Linked DNA regions of Mytilus edulis. The main gene of each other region encodes a partner of the protein of the gene in region 2 in a complex. Links are inferred from orthologs where the notes say so. Each region holds a gene or a part of one and is shown on either strand. Other genes may lie near its edges. The genes, in order: U5 small nuclear ribonucleoprotein 40 kDa protein-like, U4/U6.U5 tri-snRNP-associated protein 1-like and U4/U6 small nuclear ribonucleoprotein Prp3-like.

Region 1 (7,403 bases), on a different chromosome or scaffold from region 2:
AAAAATCCTGGATCTTACACCATATACTCACTTTCCATCTGTAGAAAACTCTATTTGCATTACTGCTCCATTATGACCTTTTAAAACTGCAAAATTTTCACATTCACCATACACAGTCCAAAAACCTGAAAATATAGTGTAAATATCTCATTCAATATGTTTTAATAGATCTGAAAATATAAGTACTTTTTAGACACATATACTTATCCCTGTCTGTGATTTTCTTAACAAAATGGAGACAAGCAAGTTTGAAAATAGCCATTCAACAACCAAACTTAAACTGAATTCTGGTATTGTACATGTCTTACTACATGTACTAGCTAATCCTTCTTTATTTGAAAATCATGAGAAAAAACAGGCCCAATATGATGTTAGAACTTAACAGCTTGGAACTTACCAAAATTATCATTCAAAGGGAATTTGTCAACTATAAAAAAATGGGCTTTAGAATGTAAAATGTCATATATCATGTATATGCAAACTGAACCAATTCTACTGTTGAAAAAAAACCCATCTGATTACTTCATAGCATATATATATATATATATAAGTCTGAAAATTACACCAAACAGTGTTAGAGTTAGATTTTATACTGACAAATTTTTGTCCGTCCCTCAGCGGGATTCGAACTCACACCTTTGATACACTACAGCACCAATCGCTTAGCCTCATGGCCAGCCCTCTAGACCACTCGACCACATCCGCTATATAAAAATATAACTTCAATAGTCGTAGTGTTACCTTGTCACGGAAGGTGAATCTAGAGATAGACATGAGGCGTGTTTTTTAAGCGTGTGTAGATGTTATATTATATATATATACTGAATATACTTTAACATGTTTAATAAATACATGTACGTATACATATACATAAAATTGAGAATGGAAATGGGGAATGTGACATGTACATGTATATCAAGTACTTTGACTTACCAATGAGCCTATCAAAGCCTGCAGAAGCTATTAGTTGTCCATCAGGTGAGAATTTACAGGTATATATTTCTCCTTCTGTACCAGTTAACAGCATGATAGGAGCTTCTAGTCCGGACAGTCTTGGAGGACCCTACAAAAAACAGTAAACATCATGTTGGAGCTTTTTTTAGATACAATACATGTTACTTGTATGCAAATTTTTCCGCCATTACATAACATCACACAGGTTCCCATAAACTTTGAGTCACAACTAAAAAGTGATTGTTGCTTGACGTCAAAAGGTTATTCGGAGGTGACATATACAGCTAAATACCATAAGTGTAAATACGTTTATAAACATGTACATGCTGTAGGTAAATAATTTAACATGATATAAGTCATGTAAGTTACATTAGGTCATTAAAATATTTTTAAAAGAGGAATACCTGTCAGGCGACTGGTCTTTTTTTTTTCTTTAAAGACAGTGCCTAGTCAAATCTTAATGAAGCTGGGTAGTATGACTTTTGCTCTTGACTTCATCTTTTGTTAATTATGATGATTTATCCCATGTAAATTTAAACTATTCATGAAAGTATCAAGTTATTATTTTGTTACATGTACATGATGTACAATTTAAAAATGAAAGCTACATCTTCTTGAATTAAATACAAAATGTAGGATGTACATGTATGAGTACATCAAGAAGTAAAAAAAAAACAACAAAAAAAATAAATTAATAAAAGTAAAATTAAACCTTATGGTTTCACATAATCTTATACCTAGTCCCTAGCCTCACCGGACACAGTTACGAACGATTTTTGAATTTAAATTTTTTTTTTCTTTGTAGCATACTTTTCGTGAATTGTTTGTACCATAGAATTAAAGATGTATGAAGGCTTTCATTTTGAGTCATAACACACATAATTTTCTATTTACGTTTGGATACTTTAGTAAGATTTGCATGACCTGGTTTTATGGGTCTAGCAAGCCCAATATGGACGCAATTATGAAGGGCACTATATTTATATATAGATCTGGCAACCGATCTAAATTAATGAAACCTACATTAATCTTATCTTAAACACATTTCCTAAGAAAATAAGAAGTGTAATATGGTATTTTACTTCAAATTCTTCAGCAGTAGTTGCAGACAAAATTAGTGACAAAAAAAAATCTTTAAAAAGGAAATACAATGTATTTTGGATTTTTTTGTTTTTATGAAAGTTGTTTCGTCTAAGATGCACTGAATTCTCCTTTTAGTTAGTGAACCTATGATTTTAATTTATATTTAACCATTACTTTCAGAGTTCTCCGGACTTTTTATTAAAAATACTATTTTCTTCTGACAATGCCCTGGCCCCAGGGTCATGAGAGTCTGAGAAAACGTTCATTTTTGGATTATTTGGACAAGATTAAGAACATCACGCATATGAACAGATTCAGGAGATATTTTTCTATCTATATTAAGACAAAAGAAGGCAATTTGCACTAGCTAGTGTGCTTTATTCATGCAATTTCTAAGAGAGGGAGTAATTATTTTGACATTTAAGAAATTGAATTTTTCATCGTCTGCAACATTAACCAATTGCACATGAACTTTTTTTTCATGAAAACACAAGTAATGTAGTGGATTTTTTATTAATAGAATCATTTATCAATTATCATGCATAAATATTAATATCAGGGGCCAAACATTAAAAATCGTGTCCAGTCGTAATTGCGTCCAGTAAGGCTAAATAATTTGGACACCATACAGCAGATTTGCCCTAGCTTGTCTGGCGCAAAGGAGAAAATCTGCACCTTGCGACAAATTTTTTGTGCTACATTTTTAATAAAGATTTATTTAAAGTCGGTTATACATACATGTATAACAATTAAAATATTAATAGGCCTTAAGATTGAGGACCTCAGCATGCTCAGAGTAATCTGGGACTAGAATATACTATGCATGGGTCAATAGCTAGGGTAACCCTTTAGAAGGGTTAGAACTTAAATATAAAACTTTTTTAAAAAGCCGGTTTATTGGACGACAGAAATTATACCTTTATACCTTTATCTTCGGGTCGTTACATAAGCCAAAGGCTTCTACTGACCCCTCATCTTGGATTGTCGTATATGATTTCTCATCTCATTATAATATATTTATATATAATAAGACTCTCTACATTTTATGTTTTTATCATAACGACCCTGCATACCCTCGGGTATCCACTTTATGGACTCTACCGTACTACAGACTCACCAGGCGTTGGTTCACTTTCGTTTGTAATTGATTTATATATAATATATTAAACTTATCAAAAAATACTTATTTAGGTGTGCGCAGCTGAAACACTTAACACGAACATATGAATTTATATAGGTTCCAATTTACGCCATTTAATGCAGACTTAAAACTATTCAGAGTCTTTGCCGTCACCGTTAAATCTGACAGGTTATTCCACTGATCCACTACTCTAATTGAAAAAGTATTTAGTCTATGTGTGGTCTTACACTGTTTTTTTAAAAAGTTTTAATGAGTGACCTCTAGTATTATTAGATGGTGCTAAAGTAAATAGGCTCATCCAGTCGATGTCATCTATACCATGCAACGCTTTGTAGACTTGTATCATATCATTCCTATCCCTACGATATTCCAAAGTTGGCAAACCCAATGAACGTAACCTGTCTTCATAATTAAGATGACAATTATTTTTTAACAGCTTTGTGGCCCTTCTTTGTACAGATTCCAATTTGCGAATGTCTTTTTTAAGATACGGTGACCAGACGCATGTCGCATATTCTAGCAGTGGACGAACTATTGATTTATAAATAGTAAGAAACATATCTTGATCCATGTAATCAAAAGAATGATTGATAAGAGACAGCACTCTTTGGGCTTTGTTATAAATATCACTTATATGTTTTTCAAATTTCAAATTAGACTCGAAAGTTACTCCCAGATCCTTTTCTTCGTTCACTGTAGATAATGCAATAAAATTTATAGGCAATTACCATCTGCAATACTGATTTTTCTTGAGACCCATAGGCTACCAGATCTGTTCTTGGCTTTTTAAAAGGGACCATGGCACTGTCTCCTGCTTTTCGTTTGATGTCCATTGTTATTTAAACAACGGAGTGGGAAAATGTAAGAGTATTTTTGTTTTCAACAAAATCACGCCGAACAGAAGGAAGTTGTACAGACCACACTAAAAGTTTATTCACAGCCGGAATAGGTTTCCGGGATTTCTCTGCCGCAATTATGAACAACTCGTCCCATTATTAAATCGCCCTAGGCCTACTCGACCAACATATGTCAAACTCGTCCACTTTTTATAAACTCGACCTTATTTAGATGTTTTCTGATTTCACATGATACAGACACTTAAGACAGACAAACCTGCACACTCGACCAAATTATATTAAAAAAAAGAAGAAAAGGATAAATATAGTTCGAAAAGTGTAGATATACAACTTCCATTTTTTAGGATACATTTTAACATTTTATTTCTTGATAATTTATGCATTAAATATTAAGTACGGGGATGAAATTGCCTGTTAAAAAATGGGTGCTAAATCTTTATGATAAGTAGTGATTTGATCCAGTAAAAAAAAGGTCAAAAATTAGTACGTCTAAAGCTATATATATCAAACTGAATTTTAAACCCCTAAACACAGAATTGTCAATATTTTGAGTAAGAGTTGGTAGAACTTTCTATAACTTTGTTATCATTTGTCTACTTAGTAAAACACTACACTGTAACAATCTTATTGAGATAGAGCAGGTTCGATTTTTTTAATTTGAATTTATTGTCTAAAAGAAGTGCACTACGGAATATCTGTGTTCTCGGGCCATTTTAAGTACCGCTGAAACAAAATCTAACAAATCACCCAAACTATGACATCATCTGCAGATAATATGAATAAGAATAGATAACAAAGCATATCATAATATACAGCTGAAACAAGAACTGTCTATCATAATGAGCTGCGCCATCTGCGCATGATGCACCTGTCACTATTTTAGCTCTTCGAACAAGGTTTCATAAATCAGCTATGTCAAATCAGACCAATAAATCTCCAAAGTTTTATGGAAACTGTTTTCAGTTATTGTCCGGTAGCTGGAAAGTTCCCCCTTTTTTATGAATAAAGTTCAAATACTCCAAAACGTTAATTCAGATTCGTTTTTAAAATCGAACGAGAAAATTGTGTCAATTATATGTATATGTATATACTAAAGTATAAACGATTCTCTAAGTTTCGTGAAAATTGCTCAAAGCATTTTTGACTTATAGTAAAACAAGAATGTGTCCATAGTACATGGATGCCAAAATCGCACTATTATTTTCTATGTTCAGTGGACCGTGAAATTAGGGCCAAAACTCTGATTTGGCATTAGCAAGATCATATCATAAGGAGCATGTGTACTATTAAGTTTCAAGTTGATAGGACAAAAAGTACCTTGACGGAAAATTTCAACCTGAAGCGGTACAGACAGGCGGACGGACAAACGAACGAATGGACAGTCCAGAACAGATAATGCCCATAAATGAGGCACAAAAACTGGAAAAAAGATTTTTTTTACGATTTATAACTCGGAAACTTTAACTTTGCGTTATTGTCTGGTGTGTTGACGTCAGCCAACAGAAGGACAAATGGATGGGCGAACAACGGTATACCACAAGATATTCTTTAAAAGGACGTTTAAAGGTTCTCCGAAATTATAGATGTTTTTACAGATTTTTTTTTTATAATTGTTTTTTTCTTCTTGAATTTATAAGTATCAACATTTATTTATCTTGTGGCACAATAAGCAAGCAAAAGAAATAAATATAAGCATAATAAGCATTCTATGATTTTATAGATATAAATATCTATATCTCCGCCCGTCTTATCGAACTGATTGAAAAATGCAAAGAAGGCAATACAAAATTTAAAGTAGAAAAAAAAACCACGTGTGAAACATATATGAGAGAAAGAAAAGCTCTAAAACACTAGTCCACCTTCTTAAAAGTATACCAGTGTAACGATCAGTTGCAGCTCCAGAACTTTTTATAAAGGGGGTGGGGTGGGGCACTCACTGACAAAAAAGGGGCGACACTATAGTTTCCCCACGAAGGGAGGAGACTCAGAGCCCCCTAGAGTCGCCTCTGAAGATTAAGTATTTCATTTGTTTGATTAGAATTCAGGTAATATCAATGAAGTGCCTTTCCTAATGGATTTTTTAATCGTTTTCTTGCATTTACTTTGATTCTATTTTAAAAAGACGTCCTTTAACCATCTCAGTAGCATATATTAATTAGTATCAATTACCAATTCAAAATACTTGAAGTTGTTCAATCAAATTTTGCAATTTTCACAGCTTTCTCAACATTTTACTTCAATTCTAACTTCATATAAACCAGATATATCCTGAGTTGTGCATGTACCACCTTAATTTCTACATGCCAATTTTCAATCAATACCTTTTTTTTTGCATTTTTGCATTTTATGTTAACTGTTTTTTTTCCAAAATCGAGGTGTTGTTAACATGTTAACGGGACAACTATTGACCCCCCCCCCCTTATATCATTATTTATTCAGCGAAATGTCACCTTTCCAATGCCTACTGTTTCTACCTTTTTATGTTGCCTCTTTCAGCAGAAATGTTATGGGTTTATATAGTATGCCGTGCGTTGTATGATGTATATATTTGTCCAATATGTAAAAATATGAAATAAACTCGTCATAGAAATTTCAAGTTGCATTATTACATATATGAGACTAGTAATCTCTTAATTGTCTTAAAAATAAAACCGACTGGATAAAGGAGGCTTGTTTAGGGGGGGTATCAATATCCCATATCCCATTAAGTTTTTATCCCAATATCCCGTATCCCTATAATGTTTACCCCTAATATCCCAATAAATATTTTTTACAAATATCCCATATCCCTTAAACTTTTTTGAAATATCCCAAAAAATCATTATAAATTCATTCCCAAGCCCATTTTTTCCCTCATCATCACAACGTCAACAATTTTGACTGGGAAAACAAACTGTGTTAAAGGAAATTTACAGTGCATACTTCCAGTGTTAAATGAGAATATATATGTCCAAAAGATGAAGTGTTCCATCGTAGAGCCTTGTATAACAATCTCTTTTTATGTGATCTTAAACGACAAATTTAGTGTAAGGGGTCTAATTTCAGACTTTTTTTTTAATTGTTCAAACCGTGATGCATATGACTGCAAAATTTCATTTTGATAGCATTATTCTTTCATTGATAAGAAACTTCATCCTACACGTTAACCTATGTTGGAAAGAACAGAAGGACTCAATCCTGTCTCTTGTCCGAGATTGCTCTGACATCCAACGGCTGTTTTGTCAGACAAGCTGAGACTGTGGGACGTCAGAGCACGTCCATATCAAACAAAAAGTGGATATTTAGCATGCAAGTTCAATAACTCAAAATTTAACACAGGAAAGCTTTCTGCTAATGTACGGTACCTACATTACACTTTAACTGTTGCA
Region 2 (7,403 bases):
CTTTATAATGTAAATTCAAATAAAAAAGTAAACATGCATTCCCTTCCTTATAGTTTATTTTTTCCTAACTGTACAAAGTAATAGATAACTACCTAGCCTCAGTAAAAAATCCAAGCAGCCAGTGTGTCCATTAGCAGCAGCCTCATGTATTGGTGTCCATCCTCTGTTGTCTCGTACATCTACTAGACGACCTGAAACATCATTTCATATATAAAATACCTTAAAATCACAACTTATAATAAGTATGTGAGTTATCACAAGTAGACTTTTTCTAGGTGGCTAAATTTAAAAAAAAAATTGAGTAAAATTGGGAATAAATCATTGTATATAATTTTAAATATTCTATTTTGTTCTTGAATGTCTACAAATGTATGGATTTGTTATTAAAGGCCTCAATGAAAATTACTCAATTTTTAAGTTCATATTCCTTAAATAATATATGTACTGTAACCTCAATGAAAATTACTCAATTTTTAAGTTCATATTCCTTAAATAATATATGTACTGTAACTTCTACAGTACATATATTATTTAAGGAATATGAACTTAAAAATTGAGTAATTTTCATTGAGGCCTTTAATAACAAATCCATACATTTGATCAATGAAGTTTTAGTTTGGGGTTTGCTTTTGTAAATAAATGTGATCTGGTATTTATTTGCTGCTGTAATGTAACATTTAGTTAACAAGACGTTAACAAGTCGTTTTATGGCTTTTCTTCAGGTATCTCTATTCATTTTTGAAAACAGAATCATAACCTCTAAATGTGAAGGCATTTTAAATCATGTGTATATCTTGTCAAACAATTTTTGTGGCAGCTTTTGTTAATAGACAATCATACCACAACTCTTTATTATTAAATTTTCTAGGTATGAATAATTGGAGATGTAAGATTATTTATTCAATGAGACATCTTCATACAAAACTGAAAATTCTAGGAGACAACATACCAACGGTTAATTAGTAAGTCAACAGCAACTCGGATCAGAAGAAAAATACCTTAAGATTTTTCAATAATTAGTACTTGAAGTATTGCTGTTAAAAAAAACATACCATGCCAAACTAACTGTTGTACCAGACCAAGGTCACCATTACGAGCTGCTATTCCTACTGAAGAACATGTGTCCTGATAGGTTTCATTGAAATCCATTACATACCAAATCTATCAGAATGAAAAAATGGAAGTAGATGTTCACATGTTACATGTATTTATACATTTGTATCTTCACATGTCACAATAGCTTACCGGTAGTCATTTCTGGTATTTGAGTACATTTTTTCTTAATAAACAAATTTGTGTCTTAGAAATTCTTATGTGTACAGAGCCTTTTATAGTTGATTGTGCGGTATGGCCTTTTCTCATTGTTGAAGGCCTTACAGTGATCTAAAGTTGTTAATTTCTGTAACATTTGGGCACCAGGTCTCTTGTGGAAAGTTTTCTCATTAGCAATCATACAACATCTTCTTTTATACATACTCTGTATTTCAATCAGATTGTCATAAATTAAGAAATTTTTAAAATAACAGCACATTGTTCATAAAAAACAAGATCAAAGACAATTTATTTGATAACCATAACTTTCAACAAATGATAACAAATGAAGCAATGTGTAAATGATTTGTAAATGAAAAAAAATCTAGTTTACTGTTGTACTGCATCTGTCATCAGAATAAAAATAAATTTGTCTGTAAACTGAAAATGTTGGGCACAATAAACAAAATATATACTCTGAATTCATATATTTTCGAGGGTACCTATTTTTCTAGATTAAGGAAAGCTTGCATATTTAATTTTGTGGTTTTGATGAAGTCTGCATACATGCCATACAAGCCTACATAAAATTTTATCATCCATTGAACATTTAATTTCATGGTTTGCCTGTACTCACAAAATCCTCGAAAATTGGTATCCCACAAATAATTATTAATCCACAGTATGTTGAAGTCTTAAAGATAAAGGTTTACACCGTATCACAATAGACAATAGACAATATTTATTAGCACTAACACATTTACATTAAATGGTTATCATGGTTATGGCATACAGTATTGAAACAATAAATTGACAATAGATAAATTGACTATAATTATATTAGAGTGACAGTGGTATATTCACAGGGTAAAAACCTATAAATATGTGTGTTTTCAGACAGTTTTAAAACACATTTTAATGTTCATGAACAAAAAACAAAAATTAGGATACCTATTATAAAAAGAAATATAAATATTACAGATGTTCTCAATAAAAAAACAATCATTAATATACTTTATGGTGATTTTTATGATGACTGGCAGACTGATATTTAAAAGTGCGGTCATATGGGTCAGTGTTAGAGATGACTGCAATTTAATAAAATTAAAATTAAGATTTTAACATAAACTTTCATATCAACTTTGCATTATCAATGCTCGATGTAAATGAGGTAATGATCATATAGACGAGTAGTATGAACACCATACACTAATAAAAGTCTTACTATTGCTTATAATATCTGAGGGGGGATAGGACCTTTATCAGGACTCCAGGATCGGGTGTTTTTAAGCTCGGGATTTCGGGATTGACCCTTTCGGGATCCAGGAATTATTTTTTCGAATTTCGGGACCTCGGCATTTCATATTTTTAAGCCCGGAATTTCGGGATTTCGTGTTTTTAAACCCAGGATTTTGGGATCAGGACCCCTCCTACCCCCCCTCATATCTGAAAAACAGATTTAATCAGATAAACTTACTGAATGAATGAGCCATAATTATTAGCTTGTTTTATTTATCTTTTCATCTGATGACTAAATTCTTTCATCATTGTCTATTACGAAGAGTTGTAATCGGGTACCTTCGTGACTTATAACAGTAAAAAAACTTGTCAAATGATGTCAACATTAATTTTTGGTGCATGACAATTAAAAAATGACAAATTTTTAAGAATCACGTTATTTTTTTCCAAAAATAACATTAATGATTATCATTTAAGACCTCTAAAGAACCATGATACAGATATTTTGACAAATCACAACGTTTGATGGCTGACGGTAATGGGTATTCCTATCCTCATTAAGTACTGTATAAAAATGAAAGTCCAGTTGTCAAATTTACCTTTTTATTTGTAACCTTCTATAGGTTTTTGAGAAGAGCATGTAGAGTCAAAAGGGATAAAGTTGAATGCTCTTTCTGATCATTGCTATTTGTTCCTCTCATATTCTTAATAAGAGAATTCATATTGCATGCATTATTTTTGTCAGACAGCAACTTTACTTTTAGTTTGTATGGATTTTCCACATCTCACAAAATGGTCTGTCTGTAGACCGGGTTATTAGCTTTACCATTCATAGAACATTAAAGTGTTCGTTTATGTTTAATATATTTTGCAATTTGTAGTTTTGAATATATATTCTTAGATATACTAACCATTTATGGAATTATGTTTTTTATTTGTTTTATAGAAGACGCTTTTGAGTTTGGCATAACCCATTATAAAACATTATTTTATACACTTTACTGTAGTTTTTTTTAACTTCCGGTAATTCAACGAACAGAAATCGTAAATAAATATCTGTTTTTACCCATTAATGCTGTAGATCTCAAGTGTATATTCCGTCATGGGGTCGTCTAAAAAACACAAAGAAAAGGACCGTGAACACAAAAGAAAACACCGTCACAGATCTCGATCGAGAGAACGAAAGCGACATAAACACAGTCGAAAAGACAACAAACCACATGAAGATGAACAAGAATACACTCACGAAGGATATGATGAAAACTATGATGACTACAATCGAGCACCACTACAAAAAGTTCTAGCAGATGTTGGTAGGTGTCAAGAAATTTGGCTTCCATCTATGTAAAATTATTTTCTGATTTCCCTTACTGCCGAGTGTCTTCTATTTTCAGTTTCCGCACTCCATCATAAATTATATACACCTTATCCCCATTTGTCTGCCATTACTGGATATCACACAGGTTCCCATAAAATTTTGACGTCATAAAACAAAATAGCTGACGCCACAATGGAAAAGTGATTGTTGTATGCGTCAAAAGTTCAAGCGGCCGGGTCAGCCGGGATTAGCGATAAGGTTTATTGATGACTATGTGCTGTGCCGATCCGAAGTCACATTTTTAGCTCACCTGGCCCGAAGGGCCAAGTGAGCTTTTCCCATCACTTGTCGTCCGTCGTCGTCGTCGTCGTCCGTCGTCGTTAACTTTTACAAAAATCTTCTCCTCTAAAACTACTGGGCCAAATTAAACCAAACTTGGTTACAATCATCATTGGGGTATCTAGTTTAAAAAATGTGTGGCGTGACCCGGCCAACCAACCAAGATGGCCGCCATGGCTAAAAATAGAACATAGGGGTAAAATGCAGTTTTTGGCTTATAACTCAAAAACCAAAGCATTTAGAGCAAATCTAACATGGGATAAAATTGTTTATCAGGTCAAGATCCATCTGCCCTCAAATTTTCAAATGAATGCGACAACCCGTTATTGGGTTGCTGCCCCTGAACTGGTAATTTTTGGGAATTTTTGCTGTTTTTGGCTATTATCTTGAATATTATTATAGATAGAGATAAACTGTAAACAGCAATAATGTTCAGCAAAATAAGATTTACAAATAAGTCAACATGACCAAAATGGTTAGTTGACCCCTTTAGGAGTTATTGACCTTTATAGTCAATTTTAAACCATTTTTCGTAAATCTTAGTAATCTTTTACAAAAATCTTCTCCTCTGAAACTACTGGGTCAAATTAATCCAAACTTGTCCATAATCATCTTTGGGATATCTAGTTTTAAAAATGGGTGGCGTGACCCGGCAAACCAACCAAGATGGCCGCCATGGCTAAAAATAGAACATAGGGGTAAAATGCAGTTTTTGGCTTATAACTCAAAAACCAAAGCATTTAGAGCAAATCTGACATGCGGTAAAAGTGTTTATCAGGTCAAGATCTATCTGTCCTGAAATTTTCAGATGAATTGGACAACCTGTTGTTGGGTTGCTGCCCCTGAATTGGTAATTTTAAGGAAATTTTGCTGTTTTTGGTTATTATCTTGAATATTATTATAGATAGAGATAAACTGTAAACAGCAATAATGTTCAGCAAAGTAAGATTTACAAATAAGTCAGCATGACCAAAATGGTCAGTTGACCCCTTTAGGAGTTATTGCCCTTTATAGTCAATTTTTAACCATTTTTTCGTAAATCTTAGTAATCTTTTACAAAAATCTTCTTCTCTGAAACTACTGGGCCAAATTAAACTAAACTTGGCCACAATCATCATAGGGGTAACATGTTTAAAAAAATGTGTGGCGTGACCCGGCCAACCAACCAAGATGGCCGCCATGACTAAAAATAGAACATAGGGGTAAAATGCAGTTTTTGGCTTATAACTCAAAAACCAAAGCATTTAGAGCAAATCTGACAATGGGTAAAATTGTTAATCAGGTCAAGATCTATCTGCCTTCAAATTTTCAGATGAATCCAACAACCCATTGTTGGGTTGCTGCCCCTAAATTGGTAATTTTAAGAAAATTTTACTGTTTTTGGTTATCTTGAATATTATTATAGATAGAGATTAACTGTAAACAGCAATAATGTTCAGCAAAGTAAGATTTACAAATAAGTGAACTTGACCGAAATGGTCAGTTGACCCCTTTAGGAGTTATTGCCTTTTATAATAAATTTTTAACCATTTTTCCGTAAATCTTAGTAATCTTTTACAAAAATTTTCTTCTCTGAAACTACTGGGCCAAATTAATCCAAACTTGGCCACAATCATCTTTGGGGTATCTAGTTTAAAAAATGTGTCCGGTGACCTGGCCATCCAACCAAGATGGCTGCCATAGCTAAAAATAAAACATAGGGGTAAAATGCAGTTTTTGGCTTATAACTCAAAAACCAAAGCATTTAGAGCAAATCTGACATTGGGTTGAATTGTTTATCAGGTCAAAATCTATCTGCCCTGAAATTTCGGATGAATCAGACAACCCGTTGTTGGGTTGCTGCCCCTAAATTGGTAATTTTAAGGAAATTTTACTGTTTTGGGTTATTATCTTGAATATTATTATAGATAGAGATAAACTTTAAACAGCAATAATGTACAGCAAAGTAAGATTTACAAATAAGTCAACATGACTGAAATGGTCAATTGACCCCCTAAGGAGTTATTGTCCTTTATAGTCAATTTAGTTCATTATAGATAGAGATAATTGTAAGCAGCAAGAATGTTCAGTAAAGTAAGATGTACAAACACATTATCATCACCAAAACACAATTTTGTCATGAATCCATCTTCTTCCTTTGTTTAATATTCACATAGACCAAGGTGAGCGACACAGGCTCTTTAGAGCCTCTAGTTCATGTTTGAATTTATGCAAATTTCTCATTCTTGCTTTATCTCTTTCAGATAAAATCCTCAAGATTAAACATTGTGTTATATATGTCTTTAGAGGTTCAAAATGAGGGGGGCAGGACGTGGGGATCAGGTGTTTTTAAGCTAGGGCTTTCGGGATTGAACGTTTCGGGATCCGGGATTTATTTTTTACAATTTTAGGGATGTCTGGATTATTTTTTTTTAAATTTCATGTTTTTAAGCCTGTGATTTTGGGATCAGGACCCCTACAACCCTCCCTCCGTAATGTAATAGTCATTAGGGTGTTACGTCATTGTTGGGCATGAGACGTTACTGACATCAAGTTTCTGGCACACATAATGCAACTTTAAAATGTTTCTGCAGCTAGAGGTGTCACGGAATAGAAGGTCCTTCATAATATAAGTTCCTAAAGGAAGAAATATTCTGGAATATTATTTCCACAGGAATAAATATTACAGTATATGTTCCTAACGGAATAAATGGTATAGAATATTTGTTCCAACTGGTACAGGTATTATGACATTGTTTATTACAGTTCCAGTGGAACTTTTGTTCTAGGTGGAACAAATATACGTTGACACAGGGTTAAGCAGTGATTTTGCTAGAGCTAATAATTTTTCATTATTTACAACCTGTTTTCCAAATGACAAAAGTATTTCACATCAATTTCGTCACTTTTTGTGTAAAATCATTTTCCATGAAAATACTATAAAAATTTTTGTGACATGTTTATGAGCCTCAGCTAATAAACATTTACAACAGGTGTTTTAAAGATGTGATAACAGTAAACCTGCTTATTGCCATCAGATGTTTCACTATTGAGTTATTTATTAATTAGAATATATAATAAACCTCAAAATTGACCATCATAATGATTTTCTACAGTAAAATCAGTCAATTTCAATTTCAATATTTCTCAAGGTAGACAACCATAATTTGCAGTTTGTTCGTGGTAGTTTTTGAAATATGATGATAAAAAATGCTTTATTTTTAATTTATTCAACATTTCATTAATAATGTTAATGGTACAAGTTTTTTAATTTCCA
Region 3 (7,403 bases), on a different chromosome or scaffold from region 2:
AATTATATATATATACTATATATAAAGCTAGAAGTTAGTGACTCATGCCAGCTCCATACTCCAAACAAACTAATCAAAATATTATGTCTTCGTCAAATGAATAACAAGCACAATCCCTTCCTGTTGTATTTATTGCTAATTTGTTCCTGAACATTCATGAAATATTTGTCACTGGAAACCAAAAATCGATAATTCAAAATAGGTTGTTTACATACAAATTACAAAGAAACTTAGGATTCAACTCTCTCGGGCAAAGTAGCCCTTATAGATGGATTTTGTTACGTTTACCTTCACTTTGGCCAAACACCTCTTCAATTGTTTCGGTTCTTATAAATACTTGACTTTCAAATAATTAGTTGCAGCTTTCCGTAGGTGACTTAAAATTCAGCATTTTACATTGTACTGGTTTTTCGAGAGTAACATTGGTGTATGGCCAAAAATGGAAAGATCCATCATGCATCATGTCCCATTCTGACTGGACATACCTGTGTTCCTTTACTTTGCTCAAAGTTGATTGTCAGTGTCGTAGCTAGATCATTTTTACGTGTATGCCCGAACCTCGGAAAAGCGGTTCCATGCCAAAGAACCTGCTGGAAGTTGATAAGCCGGGACAAGCCTCCGGAAGTTTTAGAGTTATCGAGAATGTCATAAAATTCCTGTCATTGAAAACTCATCAATAACAACATTTTTTAGATTCAAAATAATTTATTTTCTATGTTTATTCTATTCATTGTGTTTAAAATCTATTTAGAAGATAATGGCGGTCTTTGGCTTAATTTGGAGTAAACGTCCAAACCAGTTACCTTAAAATAATTACATTAGATGTATGTTTCATTATAATACTTTATTCTGATTGGCTAACTGCATGCACATCACGTGTTATTCCGTAAGCAGTTGCAATGCTCAATACAACTTTTCATTCATGATAACACGTGGTCCAACAATAAAGTGCACAGGTGAATTAAATAAAAAAATATATAAAATTCGTGTTTTCATGATCATAGCTAAAAAATGTAATTATAAGTATTGAATGCTTCTTTTTGTAACTTTATAGGGTTGTAAAAGCGTTGACCGTGCACACATTTTTAGAATGAAGCGCGGAATAAAAAATGTACTTCGGTCAACGCTTTTACACCCCAATAAATTTACAAAAAGAAGCATTCAATTCTTAAATATGATTAAAGGGAGCCGTGGATAACCTTCATTCATTACCGAAGCAGTATGCGTGGTCTTTCATTTAGGATTATTTTACTTTATGAAAACAAGATGGATCAATCGCAGAAAAGTGTTCTCGACTTCTTTCATAAAATGTTTTCATCTGAAATTGAACATAGCAGAGCGATGGCTTCTGCATCTGATGTAGCAGCGTTACTAGGTCTTACAAGTATTTGACAGCTTGCCTCTCTGTGCAATTAGGAGATAACTGTATTGTATTTTAAGCTCCGACGGCATCAATTGGGGATTTGATGGTCGCAAATTAAGTTTACTGGCGACGCGTTAGCGGAGACAGTAAACGGGCATTTGCGACCATCAAATCCCAAATTGATGCCGTCGGAGCTTAAAATACAATATTGTTATCTCCATTCTAATGAAACTGACAGAAAACAACGTTAAAACATGTATTTAAATTCTGCCATATGCCGTCTGCGCTTGCGCGTACGTCCCATAGCATCAATTGTCAATTGAAGCCATGTAAGAAAGTGACGTTATCCAATCAAAATGAACGTTACAAACGTTGTTGCATTAGAATATGTGATTTAACGGTGGCCAGATCGTCTGACTTAAATTGCAAAAAAATCTGAAAAATAAACGAAAAAAAAATTGGTTTCTGAAATTAACCATGAAAAAAAACCACTTCAATGAAGTTTAATTGAATTCGACGAAGGTTTAACAAAGTAATTGATATGTAATTGATTTTAACGTTAGACTAAGTGCAAAAAGAAATTATTCTTTTTCTATAAAATATGGGAAAACTTATCATATATGTATAATTTCGATATTATGCTCTGGATACTCGTTTGTGCATACACAGTTTTTGTCCAGCTACCGTAAAATTTCACAAATGTTTGACAAAGTTATTGATATATCTTAAAACTAAAAGAACATAATGAACCTGCATGAGTGTACATAGTTATCATTTTGGTACCGCCGACGAAATTTACGATCAAAATAGCTCGCTTTCGCGACATAAATGTCAATGGCTCGACAAGAAATGAAAACCACATATCGAATCCAAGCTCATAATGAATTGCTTAAAAAAATAAAGGAGATAAGTATAGAATTAACGGTAGATTTAGAATTTGACAGAAATAATATGATACTAATTTTCGTCACTTTTATTCGCATTTGCAAGCCATTGGAGAGAGACATAAAAGGTTAATGTACTGTTAACCAATTCTTTTATTTCTATTTATATGATTTTTTTTTAACAAATTCAAGAGTACGCCCGGACGTTTTGAGACCTTTTGACGTAAACGTAGCTACGCACATGTCCTGGACCAGGACACCTGGTATCTATCAATGATGAGGTTATGTTGATATATACCTTATAACAGTATCTTGGCTCCAAGCTACTAATATTTGTTCTTAGTCTCAATTTGAGCGTAAGAAAACGCTTCTATTTCGTTTCACAGTTTATAAGTACCCCTCTTTTCGCCCCTTTTCTATTTTGATATCTTAATCAAAAATATAAAAATCAAACTTTCAACTGAAAGTGAGATAATCAAAATTGCACGTTAGGTTTAGTATTTTGAAAGTTTGACCAAATTACTAAACTATCAAATTTTTAAACGATATTTAGAATTTTAATATTTTAATTATTTGGTTAAAATTTCAAAATTTCAAAACTTTTACACAATTGGGATTTTTGATATTTTTTAAAAACATTGATCAAAATTCCAAAAATCTAAGATTTCAAAACTTTTTAAAACTTTGAATTGATAAGTGTTACACACCGCCGCCCCCCCCCCCCCCCCCCCCTTTACATTTAATAAAAAATAATGAATTTACTTTATTCATAAAGTTTACTTTTCTCTTTAATTTTCTAACATCATTATCCTTATTAATTTGCGCAAATCCCGGAACTTGCTTTTCCGTGTTGTTTTATTTATTATATAGTTTGTTGTTGTGTAAGTAATTTCAATTGGTCGAAACATCCCTGTCAACCAATCAGCGTGTCCGTTTCAAGAAGGATCGGCTAGCATTTCGATAATAACACGATCTTTTTTTCCAAAATACTGTTAAAAAATATAAAATACTGTAAGTAAACATGTCAGTGCATCATATAATTCAGGTTGAAATAATGAAGTCTATATAAATAAATAACTATCCAAATGCTGATATTTGTAAAACGAAAACCACAGTAACAAGTTTTCCTTGGAATAATTTCTGTATATTTGATATTTTACATTTTTTTTGTATGGCCATCAATTATTTTTATATTTGACATCATTATGAAAAATAACTCTTATTCAAAATACAATAAGAATTTGAGTTAATACTTTAGTAATAATTGTACCTTTCATGTGTAAACGGAAAACATGTTTCTCCTTACAATGAATATAAAATCATCTTGGTCTCCCTAGGACTCAAGCTCATAATATTTAGAGCTTATGTTTGTACTGTTTGTCAATATGCCGAATCCAAATAAAGTTTTACTTACTTACTTTAATACTTACTTACTATTCAGGGACCTCTGTGATACAAGACAATGTATTTACTGACTGAACTCAACATGCTCAAGAAGAACTTCTCTATATTCATTTTATGTAACTTTCCTGGCAGGGTTATTCTTTTTTAACCATGATTTTATTGTTGGGCAACAATGTAATTGTAGAGCATGATTCTTTTTCTAATATGAGGCAGGCATAACCTGTGAATGGGGACGAAGTCTGTAGACTGTATGTATTATTTTTTAATTCAATCACGTTGATAAAAGAAACCGAAATACCGTACGTAACGTTCCCGATTTTGATTCTGTTGTTAGGGAATTAGCTGTGACGTTCTATAAGTTATGACGTCATATTCGATGTACACAAAAGAAACGCTTTCATCAGGTAACGTTTTTTCATATCAAACAATTATTAAAATTGAATTGGTATTGAGATCCAATCTTATATTTTACTAGACTGATAAATATAATTTTTTTCAAAGTCTCATGCAAACAAGACAGATATCTGCGCAAAAGCGGAGAAAACCGGAACAGGAAGTAGATCTGAAAAAAAAGTTAACGATTTTGAGTTCATTAGTAGAATGAAAAATTCAGGAAATTTTCTTGATTTTTTTTTTTTTTTTATTGATTTTTCTACCGTAATTTGGGACTTCGTCCCCATATAATTATCGTTGATGTTTGTCTCCTCTGGTACTTGAACCCAGGAGCCTTGAGTGAGCATGTATATCCACTGAGCTATTGAAGTACTTCACTAGCTCAGTCGCTTATGCTGTTTTCACAATAAACATTTGAATCCACAAGCCCAAAACTCATTTTTACCAAATTTTTAGTTGGATTCTGTTGGCTTGTAGAAAAGAACTTCACAAGCTCAACAACAATTTTACAAGCCATGGCTGTAGGACATGTGGTTTAATGTGAAGACTGCAAGTTATGGCTGGTTATGTATCTATCACATATACCAATGACTAATCAGTGATATTGTTTGCCTTAAATTACTGGAGAATAAAGGCTTTTTCCCCTGGAGAAGAATTCCAATTTGAAAAAAAAATGGCTAAAAATTATTCCCAAAAAGACAAATTTTTCACAGAATTTGTAGAGTTATTTTTCATAATAATGTCAGTAGTAATTGTGCATGAATACAAACTGAAATACACCCATTTATCATGTTTATACGTTTTTTATGCCTAAAATGACAATATATTCATATTTGAGGGTCTATTTATGTGTCATCACTGATAATAAGGGGTCTTATTTCAAATGAGGGTTTACCTCTTGAAAGGGGATCTACAACTTGAAGTTCCAGTCAAATTTATGGTTTATTATAAATTTCCCAATTTGATAAAAATGATGCATATTTCCCAATAAAAAAAAGGTAGAGATAGTTTTGAAAAAAGCCAACAATATCACTTAGGGATGGTGTACATCAAATATGGAGTTCCAATTTTGATTTTATGAATAAACTGCCCCAGTTGACCTGGTGTCATTCTAGAGAGATGAGGATAGGATTTGTCAGGGTTCTTGCTAAGAATTTTTGAAGGCGAGTGCAGGGACTTGTCATTTTTGGACATGGTGAGTTCCATTGTAAGAAGAAGATATATTATTGCAATATAATTTATTATTTTAGTCTCTATGACCTTATAGGGTAATGAAAAAACATTAAATTCAGACTACTTTTAAACTTTGGGTATAAAATGAGGATACATTTGTTCAGTTTATACACAATATTTCTTTATTCATCTTTTTTTGGACTCACCAATTTTAAAAATGGTGTGTCCAGACAGATTTTTATGAGTCCACGACTCATGGACTCGCCTAAGTGAAAATTCTTATTTGTGAATTGAAGTTATTTAAATTTTGACATCTGTGAAAAAGCACAAGTCGTTAGATTATAAACAGTATATTTTTAGGTAAAGATAGCATGAAATGCAATCAAAACCTTATAGGACTGACTTGATACATGTATCTAAATGTTCAAAGGCTTGTCACTACTTTTTTTTATACAAAAAAATCAAGTGCATTGATCAACATGATCAAAAACATTCTATACATCCTATCCGTCAACATTTCAAGAACTTTATGATTATATACATGTATGCTCAGATATTCAAGGCACAAAATATTGATACACTAGTCAAGAAAATTATATACATGTAACATTTGCAAAGTGCATGAATTGTGAATCTAATATCTGTTATAAAAAAAGAATGATGTCATTGTTAACATCATTTTTTTTTAAATTGGTGTTCTCTTTCCTTTGTCTAGAATTGCTTTTAAATCAACTACAACAATGTAATAATTAATTTTACTTCCCACTGATAAATTGAAGTAATCTTTACCATTCAGTGCTTTCAAGCACTTTGATTATATTAGGCAGGTGTTAAGGTTAATTTGGTACACATCAAATTTACACCTATAGAACAAATATAGCAAAAGTCAAATTGACACTTGGTCAACAATGTCAAACCAGCACTTACACGATTTGAAAAATAACCTAGTCAAGGATTGGAATTTATATAAAAATGCAGATTTCATCAATCATTAGAGTATAATGAGGTGGGGGTGGGGGTGATGGGATTGTAATTTGAGTCCCTTGGTGTGATAGATAAATGTACTATATATTATTTAAAGTCATTTTGGCATTTGGTTATTCAATTCAACACCAAATATTATTTTTACCCCTTTCTTTGAGGTATACGGGTAGAATAGTTTTTTGTATGTTTTTTACTGTCAAGAGCTCTGACATAAATAAGTCATAGTGGAATTGTCATTTTGTTATTTTGGAAATAGAAAATATCTTTATCACGTAGAGAATCATGGGATGATAAACAAGTGATAGTGTTGGGGACCACTTTCTAGTTTGTCCTTCACCAAAATAAAATCGTCAATTATGCGCGCCTAATTGACATCATTTACAAGATAGAGGCTGATAGCCTGTATCCCTGCACTATTAACGCTCACCAAGCGTCTTAGTTATCATCATTGTGCAGGATAACCTATAAATAATGTTTGTCCCTAAGGTACTTCATCACAATACCCTTATGAAAGCAGTGATAATGCCCCTAATTGCATGAATGATGTTAATTAAAACCAAACTATTTGACGGAAATGCAACGAGCTTGAAAGATGTCTATTGTCTTTTTGCTATTTTGCAGAAAGAAAATGTTGTTATCACGAAGAGAATGGGATGGTAAGCAAGTCACAGTGTAATTGTCTCTCATAATTACATTTGCCTTGGTTTTTGTTAACTGCCTACAGCGCTTACAGTGCTTTGATTGTTATTTTGCAGAGAGAAAATGTCTTTATCCCGTAGAGAATGGGATGATATGAAATCCCAGTTGGAGGGGACTGTCAACAAATTTCTGGGATTTTCAGAGCCAAGTCTTGTTACTGCAGCATTGAATTGTATAGACAAAGGATATGAAAGAGACAAAGCTATTCGTAAGTAATTTTTAAACAAAAGGGAGGTAATAAAAGAATAAAGGGACATAACTAAAGGTAATCAAAGAATAAAGGGAGATATCTGAAGGTTTTAAGAGCAAAGTCTTGTTACTGCAGCATTGAATTGTATAGACAAAGGATATATGAAAGAGACAAAACTATTTGTAAGTAATATTAAAACACAAAAGGGAGGTAATCAAAGAATAAATGGGAATAACTAAAGGTAATCAAAGAATTCAGAAAGATAACTAAAGGTTTTAAGAGCAAAGACTTGTTACCGCAACATTGAATTGTA

What was found.
Region 1: U4/U6.U5 tri-snRNP-associated protein 1-like (region 2) and U5 small nuclear ribonucleoprotein 40 kDa protein-like share a complex: the UniProt entries of both Homo sapiens proteins name them as parts of the U4/U6-U5 tri-snRNP complex. The link is inferred for Mytilus edulis from reciprocal best matches to the Homo sapiens genes SART1 and SNRNP40.
Region 3: U4/U6.U5 tri-snRNP-associated protein 1-like (region 2) and U4/U6 small nuclear ribonucleoprotein Prp3-like share a complex: the UniProt entries of both Homo sapiens proteins name them as parts of the U4/U6-U5 tri-snRNP complex. The link is inferred for Mytilus edulis from reciprocal best matches to the Homo sapiens genes SART1 and PRPF3.

What each region holds. Positions count from the first base shown.
Region 1 is NC_092355.1:11,838,934-11,846,336, forward strand, and holds the start of U5 small nuclear ribonucleoprotein 40 kDa protein-like, read right to left. Parts: upstream 4,111-7,403; 5' UTR 4,012-4,110; coding exon 3,907-4,011; intron 1,064-3,906; coding exon 934-1,063; intron 126-933; coding exon 32-125; intron 1-31. UniProt on the Homo sapiens protein: Required for pre-mRNA splicing as component of the activated spliceosome. Component of the U5 small nuclear ribonucleoprotein (snRNP) complex and the U4/U6-U5 tri-snRNP complex, building blocks of the spliceosome.
Region 2 is NC_092346.1:24,005,814-24,013,216, reverse strand, and holds the start of U4/U6.U5 tri-snRNP-associated protein 1-like, read left to right. Parts: upstream 1-3,253; 5' UTR 3,254-3,592; coding exon 3,593-3,803; intron 3,804-7,403. Other genes in the region: ankyrin repeat and SOCS box protein 3-like, read right to left, coding at 93-191, 1,053-1,149. UniProt on the Homo sapiens protein: Plays a role in mRNA splicing as a component of the U4/U6-U5 tri-snRNP, one of the building blocks of the spliceosome. May also bind to DNA.
Region 3 is NC_092354.1:9,893,293-9,900,695, forward strand, and holds the start of U4/U6 small nuclear ribonucleoprotein Prp3-like, read left to right. Parts: upstream 1-3,146; 5' UTR 3,147-3,258; intron 3,259-6,956; 5' UTR 6,957-6,963; coding exon 6,964-7,108; intron 7,109-7,403. UniProt on the Homo sapiens protein: Plays a role in pre-mRNA splicing as component of the U4/U6-U5 tri-snRNP complex that is involved in spliceosome assembly, and as component of the precatalytic spliceosome (spliceosome B complex).